Alligator mississippiensis: one gene and its partners. The protein of the gene in region 2 binds, or shares a complex with, the protein of the main gene of each other region. Links are inferred from orthologs where the notes say so. Each region holds a gene or a part of one and is shown on either strand. Other genes may lie near its edges.

Region 1 (7,879 bases), on a different chromosome or scaffold from region 2:
CCTGGGGTGGCTCCAGGGCAAGGGAGGGGGTAGGGGATAAGAACTGTGGCGCCTTTGGATGGCTGGGGGGCATGGGGAAAGTATTTAGGGGTATCCTGACATGGCTGGGGCTCTGAGGCAATTGGAGACCCCAAGGAGAGCTTGGGGACAGGAATAGGGGTAGGGTTGGGGGGGGAGGGGACAAGAAGAGATAGGGAAAGGCTTTAGGGGATCCCAGGCTGGCTGGGCAAATGGGTTAAGAGATTGGAGCTGGCTGTGGGGGGGAAGGGATTGGGGTAGTGGAGGGCTGAGGAAAATGTGCTAGGGGATTGGGAAGCCCGGGGGGGGGGAGGGGGGCGTGACAGCAAAGGGGGGCCCCACTGGGGAGGGGCTGGCTCTTAACTCTCCACCCCAGCTGTCAAAGCACTGGAAGGACAGTGACCGCGAAGATTTCCTTGATGACTTCGGCTCTGACCCCGAGGATGAGGCACGACCCCGACCCCCCCGTGCTGCCCCAGGCCAGGTGAGATGAGGGGGGGCCCATCAGGGGTGGGGCTGGGAGCCTACATGCCTAGGTTCTCTTTCCTAACACCCCCCATATCTGCTGTGGGTTGGAGCTGGGGGTCGTGGACAGCTGAGTTCCCCCTCACAATCCCCTCTCGGGTGTAGGTGCCTGGGCCCCAGCCACACCCTGGGTTGTCTTCTGCTCCCGAGCCACGGTACTGTAGCGGGGGGCCTAGACACCTGGGTCTTCTCCCCACCAGCCTCCTTCTCTCCCTCCCCCACAGCCCCAAATGGCCACCCCAGCCCTGCCACTGCCCCCCCCTGCAGCCCCTCCGGCCTTGGGGGAGCCAGACAGTGGGGTTGGCCGCACAGATGAGAGCACCCGCAATGAGGAGAGTTCGGAGCATGACTTGCTAGGTGATGAGCCCCCCAGCGGCACTGGCACCCCAGCCCTGCAGCGCCGTGGTGAGCCCCTCCCAGATGCTGTGGTCCCTCCACCTAGCCCCCCAGCCACCCCAGGCCTCACCCCGGAGGAGGCTGAAAGATATCGTGAGCTTCTGGAGCTACGGGGGCACCTCCAGAATGGCAACCAGGGTCCCCCCCTTTACCGGGGGGTGCCAGGGGGCCTGGATGTCAACCGCAATGAGGTAGCTTTGCTGGAGGAGGAGCTGCGGCACCTGGAATTCAAGTGCCGCAACATTCTCCGTGCCCAAAAGATGCAGCAGTTGCGGGAGCGGTGCCTCAAGGCCTGGCTATTGGAAGATGGGGGGCCAGGGGGCTATGAAGTCTCCCTAGGCGGCCCCCCCCATGCCTTGGCTGATATCACGGAGCTCCCTGAAAGCGCCTATAACACAGGTGAGAGCTGCCGCAGCACCCCTCAGCTGGAGAGCCCACTCCGCCAGCCCCCCATGGGCAACCTCAACCGGCCTCCAGGTCCCCCAAAAACTCGGCGCCCTAGTGAGGCCCGTCCAACCAAGCGTAGCCCCCGGGAAGCTTCACCCAGTCGTCTAGGCCGCAAGGACAACATGGCTGTTGTTGCTTCAGCACCGCCAGGCCTAGTGCCTCTGTGTGCCAGCGAAGCCTTGCCAGGAGTAGGCCGGGGTGGGGAATGGCGGGGCAAAGGTGCCAAGAGGCCTGTGAGAGACCGGCTTCTCAAGGCACGGGCCTTGAAGATCAGGGAGGAAAGAAGCGGGATGACAACCGATGACGATGCCATGAGCGAGCTGAAGTTGGGCCGCTACTGGAGCCGAGAAGAACGCAAGCAGCACCTGGCCCGAGCCCGGGAGCAGCGCCGGCGCCGTGAGCTGATGCTCCAGAGCCGGCTGGAAGCAGCAGGGGCATCCCCCGAGACCTCAGCCGTGGCCCTGGGCCACCGCAAGACACTGAGGAAGCGGAGCCGCCGCATCCTCGACAACTGGCTGACCATCCAGGAGATGCTGGCCCATGGCAGCCGTGGGGCCGACGGCCGGCGGCTCTACAACCCCCTGCTCTCTGTCACTACTGTCTGAGGGGGAGTTCCACCCCCCGCCTCCACCTCCCACAAGGCCTGTTGCCCTGGCAAGGCTGGCCCCGCTGAGCTTGTGGCTGTGGGAGGCTTTGCCAGGCTTAGTCAGCCACAAGGACAAAATGGCCACCATTGCTTTTGCAGTACTGACCTTTGGTCTAAGTCTAGGGCCAAGGGTGGCTTTGCCAAGAAGAATAGGCCACAGGGGTGACATGGCTGCTGTTGCCCTGGCGATGCCCACCCCAGCCAAGCAAGGGCCTGGGAGGCTTTGCTGGGCCGAGCAAGCTGTGCGGGCAATGTGGCTGCTATTGGTCTGGCACTTCCTGCCCTAGCCCGGCGTGGGGAAGGTTCACTAGGTTCAGTAGGCCACAGGGACAATATAGCCACTGTCACCCTTCCCTGCTGGGTCTGGAGGGGTTTTGCCAAGAAAAGTAGGCAGCAGGGGCAAAGTGACCAAGACTGTGCCTGGGGAGGCTTTGTAGCCACTGTCAACCTGGTGCTGCCTGGCCTGGGCCCTGTAGAGGCGTTACCAGGCCAAGCAAACCACACTGACACCATGGCTAGGCTACCAGTACCCCAGACTTTCAGGTGGAACAAGCGCCTGAAAGAACCCAGATGTCTGGGTTCCTTTCTCCCAAGACCATGTACAGGGACGCACCCCCCGCATTGGAAAGGTCCTGAAATGAATTGGAGGGAGGGGGGGGACTAGCTGAAAGTGCCCCCCCCCCCCAAGGGGGAGGAGGTGTGCCACAGAACTGGGGGCTGGCTTTAGGAGGGGGTTGAACGAATGGAAGAGCCTGTAAGGAGATGCTGGAAAAAGGGGTCCCCATGAGCAGAACCCTGACATCCATCCAGTGGGGATACCCCTCCCTCCAAGAAGCCAGGCCCCCCTGCTTGCAGCTGCCCCCAGCCTATGGACAATGGTGGGAGGGCTAGGATTACCTGCCCCCCCCCAGCACAAGGACAGGCGGGGGGGGGGGGGGGGGGATCTCCCCTGCGGGGCTTGCTTGTGTCTGTGATTGTGGGTGTTTGTGGTTTGCCATCTGTATCTCTTGGGAAAGGGGAGTAACCTAGGTGCCTAAGGCTTCCCTACCTCCTTCCCTGCCTCCAACCTCCCCCTTCCCTCAGTGGCCAGGGGCCCCAGGTGCTTAGAACCTTCCCCTCCCCCAGAGCACAGAGAACCTAGGCATTCAGGTTCCCCCAATGCTCATCCCTATCAGATACCCCCCCCTCCCCCAGCCAATACCTAGGGAACCTAGGGCACACCCTGCTCCCTCCCAAGTTCCCTGTAGCCCATGCCAGCAAAGAAGTCTTGTGTCCTTGCCTCACCCACCTTCCATGCTCCCCACCTTTCCAACGTTGAACCTAGGTACCCTAGCTCTCAGCCCTTGCCCCTCTTCCTCTCCCCCCACCCTGGAGGGAACCCAGGCATCTTGGTTCCCCCTGCATACTTCTTCAATGCCCAACGGACCCAGACGACCGGGGTCCCCGCCTCGCCCCGTAGCTCCCCTCCAATGCCCCGAGGAACCCAGGCGTCTTTGCTCCCCGCCCCACCTCCCCCAACCGGAAGGGAACCCAGGCGTCCAGGTCCCCCGCGCCCCTCCTCATTGCTTGTCTCTTCACCCCACGCCCGCCCTCAGCAGGGGGTTCGTTGGTTGTACAGCGCGGTGCGGGTGGGGGCAGGGGAGGTCCTCCCGGACGCCTGGGTCCCGGGGGCGCCGTGAGAATAAAGCGCCGGGTGGTTTTTACTCGTTTCAAGTCGTCGCCTCCGGGTTGTTGCTTTCTTGAGGGGGCGGGTCACCCCCAGAGCCCCCCATCCTCTACCGCTTCCACCCCAGAACCAGCGGCATTGGAGGGGGGGGGGGGAAACCACCTCGGGGCGGGGCTTGGGGGTTAGGCCCACCCACCCAGTCTGGGAGTCAGGCGACTGGGTTTGACTCCGGCCCACCCGGAGCCAGGTAGTGAGGAGCTCCACCCCAGAGCCCGCATTAGTGTGGGAGCAGGAAACGCCCCCGAGTCAGGCTTGGGGTGAAGCCCCTGTCCCAGAAGAGCCCGGACGCCTGTGCTCTTTAATCAATCCAATCAAGATGAAGAAACCAGGAAATGACAGTAATGGTAACTGCGGGCTGGAGGCGGCTGTTCCGGCGGTGCCCCCCACTCCCACCCCACCGCTTTGGGTTATCTTGGCTCCGAGCCGCCCCTACTCCCCTCGCAGAGAACCTAGACGCCCACCCTCTGAACCCCACCCCCATCTGAGGACACTACTTCAAAGAAGCTAGCAGCACTACACCAGAGACATCGCCTCCTTTGCCTTTGCTCTCATTGGTCCTCGTGACTGTCACTCCATGCCCTTCAGGGCTATGATTGGTGCTGAGGGTGAGCGGGCGGGAGAAACCATCACGGGGGGGTCTCCTGCTCAGGATTGGCTCGGCAGACGATGCCGCCTCCTGTCTACTGATTGGCTTCTTGGAGCCCAAGCAAACGCCAATCGAGGGATTCTAGACTGTGACTGGCCGGGATTTGGTCCTGCCTCTTAAACCATGTGATTGGCTGCCTCCACCATGGGGGCGGGACTATGGAGTCTATCATTTGATTGGCTAGAAGTAGGGCTTAACTCTGCAGCCACGCTCGTGACTGGCTAATGCTCAGGATGTAGGCGAAACCAAACCCTCCATGTTGCCCAATAGGAAGCTGAGGCCATGGGTGGGCGGGGCTATCCGGCGCCGATTGATTGGCAGCCAGGCGGAGACGGGACTTCATCTTCCCTCCTGCTTCCCCATTGGCGGAGCTGGAAGCCAGAGGCTCCTGGCCTCTGATTGGCCTAAGGGCCTGTTCAGCGGGGCCAAGTTGGTCTCCGATTTGCCTAGCTTGGCCCGAGGGGAGGGCAAGTGTGGCTTCCTGTGCCCTGCCCCTTTCCCCCGGCGGCCCCTCATGGAGCTGGACCTGGAGTGGCCGAGCGAGAGCCATGAACATCCGCAACGCGCGGGTGCGGGGGAGGGTTTGGGTGCCTGGGGGGGGCGGTGAGGAGCCCGGACGCCTGGGTCTCTTGGGAGTTGGGGGGCGGGTGAGGGCCCGGATCCCTGGGTCCGCTGCCCTCTCACCTGCCCTCTCTACCCCCCGCAGCCCGAGGACTTGATGAACATGCAGCACTGCAACCTGCTGTGTCTGCCCGAGAACTACCAGATGAAGTACTACTTCTACCACGGCCTGTCTTGGCCACAGGTGCGCCCGGACTTCTCGGTTCCTTGGGAGGGTGGGGTCTGGCGGGGTGATAGTAGGGACTAGGAGCCCGGACTCCTGGGTTCTCGGAGAGGGGAGGGGGCTCGAAACCAGGATGCCTGGGTTCCTTCCCAGCTCAGGGAGGCTTGCCAAGGCAGTGGATAGGAGCCCAGGCTGGTTTGACAGGGCCCTGCCTGTCGCTCCAGCCACCACCCAGGAGATGCCCAAGGGTATTTCATACCTCATTAAAGGTATTAAATAAATGCCTCACCCCTTCCTCCCAGCTGGAACCCCACCCCTCCCCCACTCCCCTGGCCCTATGAGGGGGGGTGCTCCGGGTCCAGAGTGAGGGGCACAGAGAGGATTGGGGGGATCCCCTTGCCCCCTAATTTGTATCTGCTCCCCCAGCTGTCCTACATCGCTGAAGATGAGAATGGGAAGATCGTAGGCTATGTACTGGCCAAGATGTGAGTGGGGTCACCGGCTGCAGGTTGGGAGTGAGGGGCACTGCTGTGCTGTATGCGGCAGGCTGCGGGTCAGAAGTAATGCTGAGGGACACCATGAGGCTACAGGAGGGCTGCAGGTTGGGAATGAGGGGCACCAATATGGGGGTGAGGTTGTTGAGTGGGTCTGTAGTTGGAGGTGGGGCTGTAGATTGGAAGTGAAGGGCACCATGAGGCTATCAGCAGGGCTGCAGGTCAGGAACGAGGGACATTGTGGGGATGTAGAGGAGGCTACGGGTTGGGAGTGAGGGGCACTGCAGACCCCCACCATGGGACTGAGCTCCTTCATTTGCTCACCAGGGAGGAAGACCCCGATGATGTCCCCCACGGACACATCACTTCTCTGGTGAGTCCTACCTCCCTTCCCCACCCCGGGCACTTAGTTTGGTGGGGGGCACATGGGAGTCTGGGGATTTTCTCCCATCCGCAAGGAGATGATGGAGGTTTGGGGAGGGGATCTGGAGCGGGTGAGGGAGGAGGGCAGATGCAAGTGGGGCTGGGAGCCCAGACTCCTAGGTTCTCTGGAGTCTGTTGGGTGGGAAGGAGCAGGAGAGTGCTGGGAGCCTGGATGATAGGGTTCTTTGGGAGAGGGTGGGACGTGAGAAGGGGTCTGGAACCCTGATACCTGAGATCCCTAGTTTGCAGGTCTGGGGAGGCTGGAAGCCCAGACACCTGGGTTCTCTGGGAGTGGGTGGGGGTTTTGAATTGAGAACAGGGGGCTGAGAACCAGGATGCCTAGTTTCTCTGGGAGGGGAGTGGGGACTGGGGGGGGTAGGAGCCTGGATGCCCAGGTTCCCTAGTTCAGAGGTCTGGGAGGGGCTGGATGCCCCGATGCCTGGGTTCTCTGGGACAGGGGTGGGGACTGGGGGGTACCTGACCATCCTCTCCACCCCCAGGCAGTGAAACGCTCTCACCGGCGCCTGGGGCTGGCACAGAAGCTCATGGACCAGGCCTCTCGTGCCATGATTGAAAATTTCAATGCCAAGTACGTGTCTCTGCATGTCCGCAAGAGGTGAGTGACCCCTAGCCCCTGCCTGGAGTTCCCTGGGGTCCCTTGGGTCTAGTCCTGTATCCCCCCTACCCTGGTCCTGCCTTCCCCCAGCCATGTCCATAGGGCTGCAGGTGACCAAAGGGGCAGTGACTCCTGACTTTTAACCCTATAATGACTCTCATCCCCCACACAGTATAGTGGTGAGTAACTCCTGACTATTGAGCTCATGGTTATCTTGATCTTACACACATGCATACATGAGCCTTGACCTTTGACCTCCTCACAGTGACATTGACTGTCCATGCATTCGCCATAAGGGTGTGAGCCCTGACCTCTGACCCCACAGTTACACTGACCACTACACCCCATAGTGATGAGTGGCCCCTGACCTTTGACCCCATGGTGACCTTGAGCCCCCACACACACTGGGGAGGGGTTTTGACTTTTGATCCCATGGTGATCCTGCCTCCTTATACCATTATGCCAAAGGGTTGTGATCTTGACCACCTCATGGTGTCATGGTGGTGGCTGATCCCTGTTCCCCCTCTGTGGGTCACCACTCATTCTATGACCTCTGACCCCTGAACTCCGAAGCCACACCAACTATCTGAGTGGAGAGGGGGGTAACCTCATGACCCTGCCCTGTGACTTACGCTCTTCTAAACCACTTCATGCCTCACCAGAAGTGGGAGCTGCCCCCTCAGATATGCCCCCCTGGGGATAGGGCAAATACTGTGCCTTAGGGAGCCCTGGGGCAACACCCCCCCACCTAATACCCGCCTTGTCTTGTAGCAACCGGGCAGCTCTGCACCTCTACTCCAACACCCTCAACTTCCAGTGAGTCCACGGGGGGTGATGGGATAATGGTGGCTCCTGGGGAACGATGTGATAGCAAAGGACTGGGGATGACAGGCTTGTGGAGGATCCAGGGGGAGAGCCGGGGGGGGTAGTAGGGGTGAAGCCTGGGGGTGATGGGATAGTGGAGGACTGCCAGCGGGGACTGGCTATGGGCATTGGAGGGAGCTATGGGACTGTCTGTGCCAGTCAGGTCCTGGGCTCCCCCTTTAATATTTCCACCCCATTAATAAGAGGCCACCTGTAGGATCAGCGAGGTGGAGCCCAAGTACTATGCGGATGGGGAGGACGCCTATGCCATGAAGAGGGACCTCACACAGATGG
Region 2 (6,008 bases):
GCCTGCTTGAACCTCCTGCTTTGCGATCGCAAGACCTGCCGGTCAAAGTGAAGCCCACAGGGTCATGTTCACAGACACATCCACAGCTTCCCAGGTCACAGGGAGAACCAGGGGCAGGCCTAGGAAGGAGCACGCTCATAGCACACTGGGACCCCCAATCACTTCCAGTGAAAGACCGGCTCAGCCTGAGAACCCTAAAGGAGACTCCAGGTGGCACCAGGAAGGAAAGGACGAGACGAAACACTGCAGGTAGATGCCAAGCCTGGGCAGGGGCAGAGATGGTGCCTTGGAGCAGGAACAGCCTCCCCTCCCCTGGGAGCAGCGGGTCAGTGCCCCGAGGGCAGCAAGGACGCGGGAGCCCTCGTCAAACGTGCCCGCGCTGCAGCCCTTCAGTGCAGCAGGCGCCAGCGCCCAGACAGCCGACTCCCGCCTGCGCAGGGGGGCAGGGGCGCCGGAGCCCGCTCGAGCGGGCGGATTCCTGTGCCCAGCTCCACATAAACGGCACCAACAGCCCAGGCCAGATGGTGTCTTTATTCCCATCAGTCACAGAGTGTCCAACCACCGCTGCCGGCCGCAGGCTCAGTTGGTGAGGGTGATGAGGGCCTCCACCACGTTCCCCAGGTGCTCCCGCAGGCTGCGCTCCGCCGCCGCCCGCGAGATCTCCATCTCCGTCATCTGCAGGGAAGGAGCAGCGGGGTGAGCACGGCGGGACCGCCCCAGCAGCTCCGTCCCCCGCTCTCGCGAGCCCCTCCGCACTCACAATCAACTCCAGGTCCTCCTTCTTGATGGTGACCTTGGCGAGCTCCTTCTCCCTGTAAGGAGGGCGCGGACACGGGCGTCAGTGGCGTGCAGCCCCGGGTCTCCGCCGGAGCCGGAGCATGTGCTCGCGGGCACGAGGCTCGCCCCGGGCCGGAGGAGCGGCCTGGCCGCGTGCGCTGCCGCCCCCGCCCCCCCTCACCTCTCCTGCTTGGCCTTCTGCTCCCGGGAGCGCCGGTCGCCGATCACGGACATGGCCTGTGGGGGACAGCGCGGGTCAGCCGCGGGCCCGGCCCGAGCCCCCGCCCGCCGGCCCCCGCCCGCCGGCCGGCACGCACCGTCTCGAGGTTGGAGCTCTGGATCTCCTTCTCCTCCGCGTAGTCCGTGACGCGCTCCAGGTCGGCCGCGCCGCTGTCATGCTTCCGCGGCTTCTCCGCCGCGCGGCCCCCGCCGTCCGCGCCGCCCGCCGACCCGTTCGGCTCCGTCTCCAGCTCCAGCTCCACGTCCCCCTCGGCCGCCATCGCGCCGCCGCCGCCGCTTCCGGGCCCGGCGACACGCGGCTGCGCGGAGCAGAGCGGCCGTGCGCCACTTCCGCCCGGTGTCGGATTGGCTGGCGGCGGGGAGGGCGGGCCGCTGCGCCCGAGCATGCGCAATCGACGCGCTGAAGCCGCTGCCCTTCGTGCGCTCGCTGCTGGCACGTGGCGCTGGCCCTGCTCGACGCCCGGGCCCGCGGGGCCGCCTCCGGCGCAGCCCCGGTGCGGAGCGGCCCAGGCGCTGCAGGGCCCTGGACCCCCGCCCCGGGCGCTGCGGTCCTAGCCCACGGAGCACGTGGGGCGGTCACGGCGCGGCCCCAGGCTGCTCCCCGTGGGGTCACCCACGACCCCGGGCGCTGGCTCCAGGCCCCGTGCTCCTGGGCTGCCCCGACTGTAACCTGCGGGTCGGCTTCAGCCCCTCTGCCCATTGCAGCCTCCGATGGAGCCCCGCCTGGCCCGGGCGCGAAGCCTCTCCCAGGACACCGCTTGGTCCCCGCTGCTCGCTCTGTGCCCTGGCCGCTCACTCTGCCCCGCACGGACGTGCCGCCAGCTCCCTGTTGCCGGCCACGGTCGCACCGAGCCCTTTGCGCTGCAGTTTTGTGGTTTGCTCCCTGGAGCTGCTCGTCCGCCGCGGCCCCAGGGTCCACCTGGGAGCCTGTGCGCTCCCCTCTGCAGCCTCCGGGCCCCGGCTCCGGCCTGCCCTCTCTGGCCACCTCTCGGGGCGCCAGGGATGGCGCAGGTCTGCAGATGCCTGTGCCCGAGCAGGCCCGTGCACGTGCAGCGTGGGCGTTTCCCCGTCCCTCGGCGGGAAAGAGCTGTGTAAGGCCGCGGGGGGCTCCGCGGTGGAGCGCGGGCGCAGCACGCTGAAGCGCGGGTGCTCATGACTTTGCTCATCCTCAGCTAACTGCTCTCGGTACTTTTGGGAAAGTCACTTCTATGGCCCCATTGCCTGTGGCTGCCCTGTCCTTCGCGCTCCCCTGGCCCCTGCCACCCTGCCCCCCCACATTGAGGGACAGCTGTGGGGCAGACCGGGGCATGGGCGGTCACTCTAGGGCAGGGGTCAAACCTGGGTGACAGCCCGAGTCCAGGAGAGCAGCCAAGGGCCAAGGTGAGGCTGTGACCGAGCAAGCGACTGATCTGGCCCAGGAGGTCCAGGGAGGAGCAGGCAAGAGGTTCAGGGCATGGAGTCAGGTCTGGGAGCTGCAAGCAGGCCGGGGGCACGGCCGGGCAGCCTGCTGCCCAGCTGAGCTTGACCAGGCCAGTGTGGGCTGGGCCTCACCCTGGCGGATGGTCCCTGCCAGCTGGATCCCCACGTACACCCCACGGGGCCCGGGATGGGTCTGGCCCAGCCAGGCCTCAGGTCCCTGCAGCAGCAGCAGGACAAGCACGGTCCGCTCTGGCTCCCCTCGGCCTTGCCGCCCTTCTGGGCACAGCTGGGCCCGGGGCAGCTCCCTGCGGCTCTGCTGGCAACCCCTGCCCGGCACGGACGTCCCCACCTCTCACCCGGCCCTTGGCGCTGGGGCTCCCTGCAGCAGGGAGTGCCACGGGCTGCTCTGCGCTGTCACGTTCCCCAGGGCCAAGGGCTCGGCCCCCACCCCCACCCCCACCCTGTGCATTGCACTCTGCATTTGCCATCGGGGGACCCCCTCTGCCCCCCCATCCAGCCTGGGAGCCCCCGTGGCTGGCAGCGTGGCATGGGGCTCCGCGGTCTGTGTGCTGTGGAACCGGCTAAGCCCTGCGGCTGGTAAGAGGGTTAAGAGGCTGCATTTGGCTCCCAGCCTAATCACGTTTGCTGCAGACCTGTCTCACCCCAGGTCCCCCCCCCCCCCCCCCGTGGCCAATGGCAGGCAGCTGCCTAATTGGCTTCCCCTTTGCACAGACTGGCAGTGCCGGGGCTGCGTGGCTCACACTCTATCAGCCAAGGCTGATGCCCCGGGGGCTGGCGCAGTCCACCTGGCATCTCCACTGGGAGCCGTCGGTCTCGGGACTGGGCGTGGGATGATGCCCAGCGGCCACCAGACACAGGTGGGAGCAGCGTGGGGGCTGCGGAGCCCCCTTCTCGGCAGCATCGGCCAGGGCGTGGCGGGGCCCAGAGGAGGCTGCTGTGTGCACAGGACGCCCTGGCCCCAGCCCTGCTGTGCTCTGAGGGGCAGCAAGGGGGTCTGAGCCCCAGGGCTGCCGCTGGCGGGAAGCCTTCCCCATCAGGTGGGTCATGCAGGGAGGACCCCAGGGCCTGCTGGGCGCCGGCTGCAACGGGAGCTCCTCTGGGCGCAGGCACCCCGAGCAGGCAGGGCCAGGCCCTCGGGGCAGCGTCGCAGTCCCTGTGGCAGCGCTGGTCCCAGGGTGGGGGCTGCACCCTCCAGACACTGCAGGGGAAGGGGGCATGGAGGGACTCCTGCGTGTGGGGCTGGCGCAGGCTCCTCCTCCACAGCCCTGGGACCCCCGCTCATGTCCTGGCCTGGCTGCGCGGGGAAGCAAGTCTGGGGAGTCTGAGCCAATTAGCAGCTCTAATCCCTCCCGGAGCGTGTGCCCGCGAGGGGGGACGGGGGCAGCGGTGTGCGCTCCAGTCCGCGGGGCCTGGGGGAGCTGTGCCTGGGGTGGGGGCGCAGCACAGCACGGAGCAGGAGCCACGCAGCTCCAGGGCCCCACGGCGGGTCCTGGCGGGGCGGGGCGGGGCGGGGCGGGGGTCTCTGCAGCCACCATGGGCAGATGGCGAGAGGCGCCTGAGCCACCCAATCCCCTCTAATCCCCGGGGGCGGTGCTGGGCAGGGGCTGTCCTGGCACAGGGTGCATGGGCACGACCTGGGAGGCCCCGTGCCTGGCTCCTGACTCCGGCTGCAGCATGACTCCAGCCTGGGCCTCCCTGGCAGCAGTGGGCACGGGGGGACGTGGTCGGCTGTGCCCGTGCCCCAGGCTCTGCCACGCTTCGCAAGGCTGGGCTGGCTCTGTGCCCTGGCCCGTGGGCAGCCATGGGCATGATGGGGATCTCAGCCCAGGTCCAGGCACAGCCCCAGGCAGCCACGTGAGCCCCATGCTCCTCCCAGGTCAGCCGTGGCTGTGGCTGCAGACCTGGCATGAAGGCGTCCACGCAGACCCGCCTGCTCTACACGCTCTTCCACGTCCTGGCCTGCGCCGTCTGCTGCCTCCTGCTGTCCCGCACCGTCTCGGACGCCCTCAAGGACCACGTGAGCGTGGGCCGGGCCGGGGGCTGGGGCTGGCCTGGCCCCGGGGCGCTGCACCGTGCCGTGCCGCGGGGCCTGTCCCCACGCCAGAGCTGACCCGCGGCCGCATCCTGCCCACAGGTGCCTTTCTATGCCCTGCTGTGCCAGCGCCTGCCCGGGGGCGCTGACTGCGACGCGCTGGTGGGCTACGCGGCCGTCTACCGCGTCTGCTTCGGCACCGCCGGCTTCTACCTGGCCCAGGCCACCCTCCTGCTCAACGTGAGGTCCAGCCGCGACGTCCGCGCCCAGCTGCACAACGGGTGAGGCCCCCGCCAGCCCCACGGGTGCTCGGGGTGGGTCCGGGCACTAACGCTGGCGTGTGCTGCAGGTTCTGGTTCCCGAAGCTGCTGATCCTGGTCGGACTCTGCGTAGCCGCCTTCTTCATCCCTGCCGACCGCTTCCTGCCAGGTACCGGCACAGACCCGGGGTGCCAGGGGCACCAGCCCAGCCAGGGCCTGGCCCCCACCAGCCACTCGAGGCTCGACCCTTGCTGCGCCCCGAGGGCACAGCCTTCGATGCCGCCCCAGAGGCTGTGCCCCACTTCCCCCCGCCCTAAGCTGGTCCCTGCTGGGTTGGGCCAGGCCCGCGTCTCCACAAGGACCCTGCAGCCCACGGGAGGGATGTGGTGCCTGGCGTGGGGGGCGTGGGGGCTGGGCTCCAAGCAGGCGGTGGCTCCTGACGCTCCCCTGGCCACAGCCTGGCGCTACGTGGGCATCTGCGGTGGCTTTGCCTTCATCCTGCTCCAGCTGGTGCTGATCACAGCCTTCGCCCACACCTGGAACAAGAACTGGTGGGTCCCCCTCCCCTGCCAGGGCCGGGGGCTGCTCCAGCTGCCTCCCTCCAGCGTGGACTCAGGGCCCGTGTCCCCAGGGCACCGGGCTCACTGCCTCCCCTCCCCAGGCAGATGGGGGCGTCCCGGGACGGGCGCTGGGGTGCGGCGGTGCTGCTGGCCACGCTGGGCTTCTACGCCATCGCCGTCGCCGCCTTCTCCCTTCTGTACCAGCGCTACGCTCGCCCGCCCGCCCGCCCGCTGGGCGCTGCCCTGCTCGCCCTCCACGCCGGCCTCTGCGGGCTCGTGTCCCTCGTCTCCGTCTCGCCCTGCGTCCGACTCAGTGAGTGCCCGGCGCTGGCCCCCAGGCGCCTTCGGTTCTGCCGGTCCGGCTCGGAGCAGGATGGGGGTCTGGGCTGCACCTGGCGTGGCTACAGGGGGAGGAAGCGGTGGGAGCCCAGGATCAGGCCTGACCCCATGTCCGGTGCTAACTCTGGGACTGCACGTGTAGGGGCAGGCGCACCCCCCCGGCCCTGTCCTGCCCCCCAGCCCCACGCGGGAGGGCTGAGGGAAGGGAGGGCACATGGCACCCTCCAGACCAGGCCTTGGCCTTGCTGCCTGCCCACGCGGAAGGGCTGACCGGGCCTTCTGGTTGCAGAGCAGCCACGCTCCAGCCTCCTGCAGGCCTCCATCATCAGCTGCTACGTCGCCTACCTCACCTTCTCCGCG
Region 3 (7,647 bases), on a different chromosome or scaffold from region 2:
GCTGCCACCAGAAGAGGCCCCTCAGCTTATTGATTCCTGCATGCTCCCTGCAATGGAGTTTCTGGATCTAGCTTTTTCACACAAAGGTCTTGTGAGTGTTTACAAAGGGTGTGACATTGGAATGGGGAAAAAAAACCCTATCAGGCAGCTGCAAGCTCTTCCAAAATTAGAGGCAGGATGAAAGGGCTGCAAACTACATACCCTGTCTGTTTTGGATTAGAAAGGTATAAAAAACTCAAGTAACCATGTGACTGGTTCCTTCCCTCATCCTTATTCACTAGGAGCCTCATTCATTCATTTGTTGCTCAGGCTCTAGAGCTGATCTACAAAGCTCCCAAGATTACCACTATGCTTTCAAGTACATGTTAACTAACATGCACTTAGTAGAAAATTCCCATATAGAGCCATTCAAAACTGGGTTTTACAGCTACCAGGTAAAATTGCCCCATGCGTTTGGTGCACAGTCAGACCAAGAACACTTGCAGCACACATACACTCCTTCAGCATTAGGATTCTCCAATAACCCGAAGCAGGCAGGAGAACTGGCTCATGCTGCAGCCCTTCCTTGTCCAACTGGCACTATCTCCCAGAAACAGAGGCAAGGCAGGACAGGTGGAACTCCCACATACACCTCCATTTCTGGGAGGAGGAACAGAGGGACAGACCAAGAAGGGCCACAGCTGCCAGACAGACAGGAGGCACTTTGCCCGGGCAGCACAGGGTTTGTGGTGGCGGCACAGAACTTCCCTGCCCCGCTCTGCTGCACTGGGTCTCACCCAGCAGAGCAGGGAGCCCTGAGCCCACAGCCAACCCCTGCCCCATTCACAAATCTAAGGGTCATGTCCCTCCTATACTCCCGCCAGGAGTGTGTACACCAGTGGGGAGCCAGCCCCTCCCCTGCCCCCTGGAAGAGCTGTCCCACTCCTTGTCCAGGCCTTGCAGCCACACATGGCCCTGGGCCCCAAGCCTCACATACTGCCTGAGCTGGGCCGCAGCCCAAACCCCAGCCCACCCAACTCCCTCTCATTATGGAGGCCTCAATCCCCACCCCCCACCCCGGACTTACCTGTGGGAGCAAATCCCACCCCCAAAAAAAATTAGGAGTGCCAGAAAAGCAGAGACAGAAAAGTATAGAATATCACAGGCCTGTTCTGCTCCCCTGGAATTTGGCAAACTTCACAATTGATTTAAGTAAAAGCACAACTGAGAAAAAAGTCTATTATTAAAGGGCCATCAAGGAATAGGTTTTTGGGTGGTTTTTCCTGTTCTTTTGTAATGAACCCCCCAACTCAGATTCACTGAAGCCCCAGATAAGAGAAATGACAGTTTTCACCCAGGCGCATTTTGTATACTACATGTAAATCTGGAGACTCCAGTCTGCTCTGGCCTGACACAGAAAGTTGCCCAGACAATGTAATGTATTCAAGCCTAAGAAATAATACTCTCTCTTTCAATTCAAAACTGATATAGAATCCAAGCAGAGCCAAGCCACAGAAAATCAAAAAACCTGGGGAATCCAAGCTGAAACCAAGTTCTAGCTTCAGCCATAAAGAAGCACATCTAACATGCGACCTGCTGCTGATCAATTTTATTGTTCTTCCTGCATACCCACCTATTCCTTACAAGGCTGCTCTGCCTCTTTGCCCACAAGACCTAAAGACCTGATTATATTGGACACTGCTTTATTGACAGGCATTAAATGGAAGATTACCAAGAATCCACGTTTTCTTTTTTCCCCATGGAAAAATGCAAATTTTCCCCTTTGAAACAGGAAACCAGACTTCCAGCTTGCAAGGTAGTGTTTGGGGTTAGAGGGAGGGCCACTGGAGGCAGGGGGTGCCATGTGCATGCATGCAACACATCACACAAATACAACCAGGCAGGGTGGTGGGTGCAGCTCCTGCAGCTACCTGCAGGTAAGTTGGGGGTGGGGGGGCAGGGGGTGGAAGAGGAGGGTGGCACAGGTGACACATGGGAAGTCACAAGGCAGATGGAACTCCACACATGCCAGGCCACCCTTACTGCTATGGAGCATTGGGTCCATCCAGGCTGTAGCCTCACACCTTGTAGTGCCAAGATTGAGGTGTGAGGGAGCACATGCTACACCCAGCACCTTTAGGGCAGGTTTGGCGACTGCGGTTGGAGGCACTGCCCAGCTGGGGTGGTGGCACAGGGCTCCTGGAGCTTGGCACCAGCCCTGATGGTCAATGCAGAAGCTTGGCACATGCTGAGGCCAGTCTGGGCCATCAGGGACCAAGCTCTGGCAAGTCCAGACCAACCCTGCACCATCAGGGCAGGGGCCAAACTCCAGAAAGCAGGAGCCTTTCTGGTCCATCCACACACTACCCAAGAGAGAGCAATGCCAGCTACATTTGTGGGGCTGCTGCCAGCTCTCCAGGCAGCTGTTGGGGCAGGCAGGCAAAGTCTGCCTTCCCCAGGGAGGCACCTGATGCAGAAATGACACGCAGCACCACACGGCCGTGGGCCAGAAGGCGCGGGGTCGCCTCGCCACCCTCCGCGGGAGAAGACCCCGCCGGAAACGTGGTTCGGCCCGCAGCGGCCGGGACCCGCGGAGGAGTTCCCCTCACGCAAACGCGGCGCAGCCGGGCCCTTCCGACGGCTTCTTCCACCCCCGCGGGGGAACGACCCGCAACCCACGAGCCGAGACCAGCTGCGCAGCGCCGCGCCCCCGGAACGCCCCCGGCCCCGCAGGTAGAGAGCGGGGTCACGCGACGGCCGGTTTGTGCCGAACGGCGCCACCCCAGGCCCGGCGCCCCGCTCGGGCCGGGCCCACGCCGCACTCACCCCTTCATGGCGCGGCCGCACTGGATGCGCGCAAGGCCTGGCGACGCGGCGGCCTCTTTCTCTTTCTCCTTCTCCTCCTGCTGCTGTTGCTGCTGCCGCCGCTGGGCGCTTGTTGGCTCAGCCTCCTGCTCCCGCTCCACATGGGCCGCAGGCCGCCCGCCCCGCCCCGCCCCGCCGGCGTGACCCCGCGCTGCCCGCTCCAACGCAGGCACGCTCTACGTAACCTCCAGCGGTATTACTATGCTCCCGCGCGATGGCTGGAGGGCTGTATCACATGACCGCAGGATGTAAATCACATGACTCTTGCGCCTGTTACGTGAGTGGGAAGGATTCTCTCGCTTTCCTGGCTTCCGGGAGCGCATGCGCAGGCGGTCCGGAGCGACGGATAAGTTGTTTTGTTGTTGCTGCCGCCACTGCCAAGGCTGGGAGTTTTTGCTGTGTGCTCAGGTGATGTACCCTCCACGCTCGCGGGCCCCTGGGAGGCGGCCGACCTGGCTGCGCCCCCGCGCCTGCGTCACGGGCTCCCGGCCTGGCGGGCGCGTCGTCCTGTTCTGCGGCGGCTGCCCTGTTGAGGAGCGGTGGGGTAGGTCCGCTGCCAGGGAGCGTCGCCTCTCCCGGCTCCTGCCTAGGCTGGTGGCTGTAGGAGGAGCCACGGCCGCGTCGCTCTGGCCTTTCCCGTCCCTGAGGCAGGTCCCGCCTAGAGCGGGTGCGTAGGCGACCGGCGCTCTTCGCTTTCGCGCGGTTGCGAGGACTGGACCTTATGGCCAGAAACTGCTGTAGGTTAGCCGGTAACCAGGTGTCTCATGGACATGCCGCTCCCTGTGCTTCTGACTTGGCACAGCCTCTCCGTTTGAGCCCGTAGGGAGGCTGTTTCCTGAGCCCCTGCCTCCTTCCGCGTTTGTCATTCATTTATCCAAGGCTTGTTAAAGATGGTCATTTAAAAAGGCTCTCCGTCTTTATTGCTTGCAACAAAGCAAGTTAGGGGAGCCTAACAGAGTCAATTTGTTAGGCTCCTCAGTTCAAAGCCACAAGGCCTGTGGCTTTTCAGAAAGATGGTGGATCATAAGGTAACATGCCTACCATTTTGTTTGCTGTGTATGTAATGGCTGTCCTACTAGCAGGGGCGGGCAGTTATTTCAGGCTGAGGGCTGCTTACCAAGTTCTGACAAGCTGTGGAGGGCTGTATTGGTAGCCCCACCCCTTGACAGATGCCTTGCCCCCTGGTTGCCATCTTATGACTGGAAGTCCCACCCCCTAACACCTGACCTTTGCCACCAGAAGACCCTCCCCATGCTCCGAGAAGTATTCCTTTCAGCAAGAGGTTTTGCCATCTCAGAACCAGAAAAATACCAAAGTATAGTTTAAAAAGCAAACATCTACAGCATTCATTAATTTGGTTTAAAAAAATATTGTCCAGATATACATGCGTTTGTGCAGTACACATAGACATGATTGCACAGTAGCTTAAAATGAAGTCTTATGCTTGTATATTGTGGGGGGTGGGGTGCCTCGGGGGTGTGAGGGGATGTAGGGGGGTCTGTGTATATGGCAGTGCGAGGGGGGGTGTGGGTGCATGTGTATGGGACTCAGCCTATGAACACACATACACTCTGCCCATGCCTACACACACATGCACACACTGTGCCCGCCTGCATACATACGTGCAGTCATTCACACACCCCATACTGACACAGTCCCGTGCTCCCCAGTTGGGCGGTGCAGCTGGCAGCTAGGGGGTGCTGGAACAGGGCGGAGGCAGGAAGGGAGAGAAATGGCTGGGAGTGGGCAGGGCTGGGCTTTTCAGTCCTACTGAGGCTCCCCTTGGGTCCTACTGCCTCTGGCTCCTGACAGCTTTGATAAGCTGCTGGGGCAGATAAAATTTAGAAAATTAATATTTTTAGGGGCCCCATGGGCCAGATAAATGGCTTGGTGGGCCATATTTGGCCTGTGGGCTATATTTTGCCCACCCCTGTACTAGCATCATCACTTGACTACATTGCCTTGCAAAAGGAATGGTAGTTGGGATGGTAGTTTGAGAGGGGAAGAGCCAAAATAGTTCTCTCTCTGGCCCATGACTACAAAGTTAAATTGCTTTTGACTTGGAAATACTGAGATTGTTTCCTGATCAGCAGTGTCCACATGACCTGTTGGAGAGGAACAGCATCAAGAAAACCTGACAGCAGACCAGGCTGGAACATCATTCATGCATGGTTCATCCTGAATCACTATGTTTTGAAAAATGTGACTGCTGTTGGTTGGGGGTTGGGTAGACAAAAGAAATTGTAGCAGGTCTTTTGTGTACGCATGTCCACCCCTGTTGCTTGTAGAGAAGGGGACAAGACTGACAAATTTCTTGGCCTGTTTTTCCTACCTAGCATTAGTTAGTGTGTGCATGTGTACTGTGTGATGTGCCAAGGAGGTAGAGTTGGTTCTGTGCCTTATTTCTGCTGCTTCATGGTATAAGGGAGCCTAGACATCCTCTGGAAGCACTGTAAGATGTTTCTATTTGGGTAGGCATTTAGCAAACAAAGCTAAGTTAGGCTGTTGTTGGAGGCAAAGGGGGTTAATTTTAACTTAATATTTTACTTGCTTTTATGTTGTTTTGTTCCCTTACTGTAAGCTACCCCAAGCCTTTCTTGGAAAGTGTGATGTATCAATCAAATAAACAACATAAATCCTGGATCTTTTTTTTTTCCCCCCCTATTTAGGACAAATCCCAATGTCCTACTTCATAACTGCCTAAAGAGGTTGTCTTATCCCCATTGTCCTATTTCTTGTAATATAAGAGACGTTAGTAGAAATAGCTACCTTATCTATACCACTTATTCTTTTTACTCCCATCAAGTCCTTTTATATTGTCTGTAAAGAGATAAGCCTTATCTCTTTAATGTTTCTGTGAGTTCTCGCAGTCTGGTAATCATTTTCATTGCCCAGCTGAATCTTTCTAATTCTACTGTGTTCATTTTGGATGTAGTGGGATCCTACAGTTTTACAGAGCATACTTTTGGTTCCTAGCACAGCAATATTTTTTGTCTTCTTCCCATTTCTTACGTGGACTGGGTTTGTTTGTTTGTGGTGGGTCCATGTTGATGGAAGTCTGTATTGAGCTATACACAATAAGGCCCATGTCTCTTTCCTGAGTTGATACAGTTATTGGAAAGATAAACAAGTAAAGACCATTTCTACAATAAAAGTTTCTCTGCACTTGTCAATGTTGACCTCATCTGCCATCAGACTGCTTATTAACCTAGCTTGTGTTGGGTCACTCCAAGGTGACTCAGCCCTCTGTCTTGACTAAGTGAATAGTTCTGACTTATGCAAAATTTCCAGCTTCACTACTCACTTGCTTTTAAGATGATTAAATATATTAACAATTGTCCTAATACAAAACACTTGTGTGATGATACTTGACTATTTCTTCTTCCTTTATTTGATCTTAGCCACAATGAAACTCCATAGGTGATTGTAGCAAGCCTAGAATTTTGAAATCTCAAGTAGTTAGGAAGTGAAACCCATCAATATTTTTAACCTTTATAAAACTGGTGTTGTCAGTTTTAAATTACTGGCAAACATTTGTGAGAAATGATCTTTAAGATTGAAGGATATTGTTCCTTCAATTAAGAACAGAGACCGATCCAAGTAAATAAATCCTTTGACAGAAATGAAGATTTAAATTACTTTAGACATATCAAAATTAGTTTTTGACCTTTTTTAGACTTAAGGCACTCTTCAGAAAATGCCAGCTCTTAAGTTTTCATTCGTTTCTTGACTGTGGAAAAATAATGGAGCACTTCTATTGCAAAAAAAAAAAAAACCCCTCAAAAGACCACAACAGATCAGAATTTCTTAATGCAATGGATTCCTATTTAAAATCCTTGGGTTTATTTTGTGACTTGTATAGGTGTTTGCACACCTAACAATGCCAGCATTTTGTGACATCAAAGGGATTTTGTAGCACCCAGAGGTGTTATGGTAACCTGGTTGATAACTGTTTCTCAAAAGAAGACACAAGCAGAGACAGGAAAAACCCCTATGCCTTTTAAATGAAGAACATTTATCTTACTACAATCTAATGCTGCTTCTGTTGATTGGTTTCTGCAACATAATAATCTGAGAAACAATCTGGTTTTGGAATGAAGTAATTTCCAAGCAGTGGATTTCTTAAGATTTGTGACATTGTTAAAAATTTTTAGGACTGGGTGGGTGATATGAGATTCACAATTTAAGTAACTTGTTCCAGAGAAGAATGGGGAAGTCTGCACTCATAGTAGGTTGCCCTCCACCAGCACCCCTCCCTGCACTGAAACCTGGTTTCAGCTTCCAGACATCAATGTCATCTTGGTTCCTGTGACAATTTCCTTAGTTGTCAGGTGTTGATCACTGAGTGTATTGGCTTCCCTTCCAGATGGCTTGTATGGAGTTTGGAGACCTGGTTCAGTTCCCCTGGGAGAATGACAGCTTGCTGTGACCCTATACTATAAACAGCAGAACCATTGCCATTGCGAGAACCTACTGTGGCCGCCTTTAAGAAAGCATTTGGATTCTTATCTTGCTAGGATCCTTTGACCTTAGCTGACTTCCTGCCTGTGGGGCAGGGGGCTGGACTTGATGATCTCCTAAGGTCCCTTCCAGCCCTAAGGCCTATGAAATCTTGTCTAACTTCCACATTTATTTACAGTGACATGATCCATTATAGTTCTGCTTCTTCCCCACCCCCCTCTTCCACCCTCCCCCCCCCCCCCCCTTTTCTGAAGGTTTTCTCAATTGGAAAAGGAAATGTAAGTCACCCAATTTACAGGAAGCTTGCTGCAGCAGTGGTTGTCTAATGTGTACTAATCATGG

Evidence for each region.
Region 1: the proteins of HYPK (region 2) and NAA10 are in contact, whole or in part, in a crystal structure (PDB 6C95), measured with the Homo sapiens proteins. The link is inferred for Alligator mississippiensis from reciprocal best matches to the Homo sapiens genes HYPK and NAA10. Residues at the interface, in NP_057484.4 of Homo sapiens: Lys27, His28, Ser30, Gly31, Asp34, Leu35, Arg37, Val38; in NP_003482.1 of Homo sapiens: Glu24, Tyr26, Lys29, Tyr30, Tyr33, Lys59, Glu134, Lys136, Tyr137.
Region 3: HYPK (region 2) and NAA50 share a complex: the UniProt entries of both Homo sapiens proteins name them as parts of the N-terminal acetyltransferase E (NatE)/HYPK complex. The link is inferred for Alligator mississippiensis from reciprocal best matches to the Homo sapiens genes HYPK and NAA50.

The regions. Positions count from the first base shown.
Region 1 is NC_081831.1:28,666,229-28,674,107, forward strand, and holds the start of NAA10 (N-alpha-acetyltransferase 10), read left to right. Parts: upstream 1-4,862; 5' UTR 4,863-4,952; coding exon 4,953-4,973; intron 4,974-5,110; coding exon 5,111-5,209; intron 5,210-5,614; coding exon 5,615-5,673; intron 5,674-6,009; coding exon 6,010-6,055; intron 6,056-6,605; coding exon 6,606-6,721; intron 6,722-7,492; coding exon 7,493-7,537; intron 7,538-7,802; coding exon 7,803-7,879. Other genes in the region: PDZD4 (PDZ domain-containing protein 4), read left to right, coding at 395-502, 768-1,991. UniProt on the Homo sapiens protein: Catalytic subunit of N-terminal acetyltransferase complexes which display alpha (N-terminal) acetyltransferase activity. Acetylates amino termini that are devoid of initiator methionine.
Region 2 is NC_081834.1:732,715-738,722, reverse strand, and holds HYPK (huntingtin-interacting protein K), read right to left. Parts: upstream 1,324-6,008; 5' UTR 1,278-1,323; coding exon 1,095-1,277; intron 1,015-1,094; coding exon 959-1,014; intron 813-958; coding exon 761-812; intron 676-760; coding exon 580-675; 3' UTR 513-579; downstream 1-512. Other genes in the region: SERINC4 (serine incorporator 4), read left to right, coding at 4,364-4,565, 4,596-4,770, 4,839-4,918, 5,207-5,300, 5,411-5,622, 5,938-6,008. UniProt on the Homo sapiens protein: Component of several N-terminal acetyltransferase complexes. Inhibits the N-terminal acetylation activity of the N-terminal acetyltransferase NAA10-NAA15 complex (also called the NatA complex).
Region 3 is NC_081824.1:241,147,614-241,155,260, reverse strand, and holds the start of NAA50 (N-alpha-acetyltransferase 50), read right to left. Parts: upstream 3,018-7,647; 5' UTR 2,814-3,017; coding exon 2,806-2,813; intron 1-2,805. UniProt on the Homo sapiens protein: N-alpha-acetyltransferase that acetylates the N-terminus of proteins that retain their initiating methionine. Has a broad substrate specificity: able to acetylate the initiator methionine of most peptides, except for those with a proline in second position.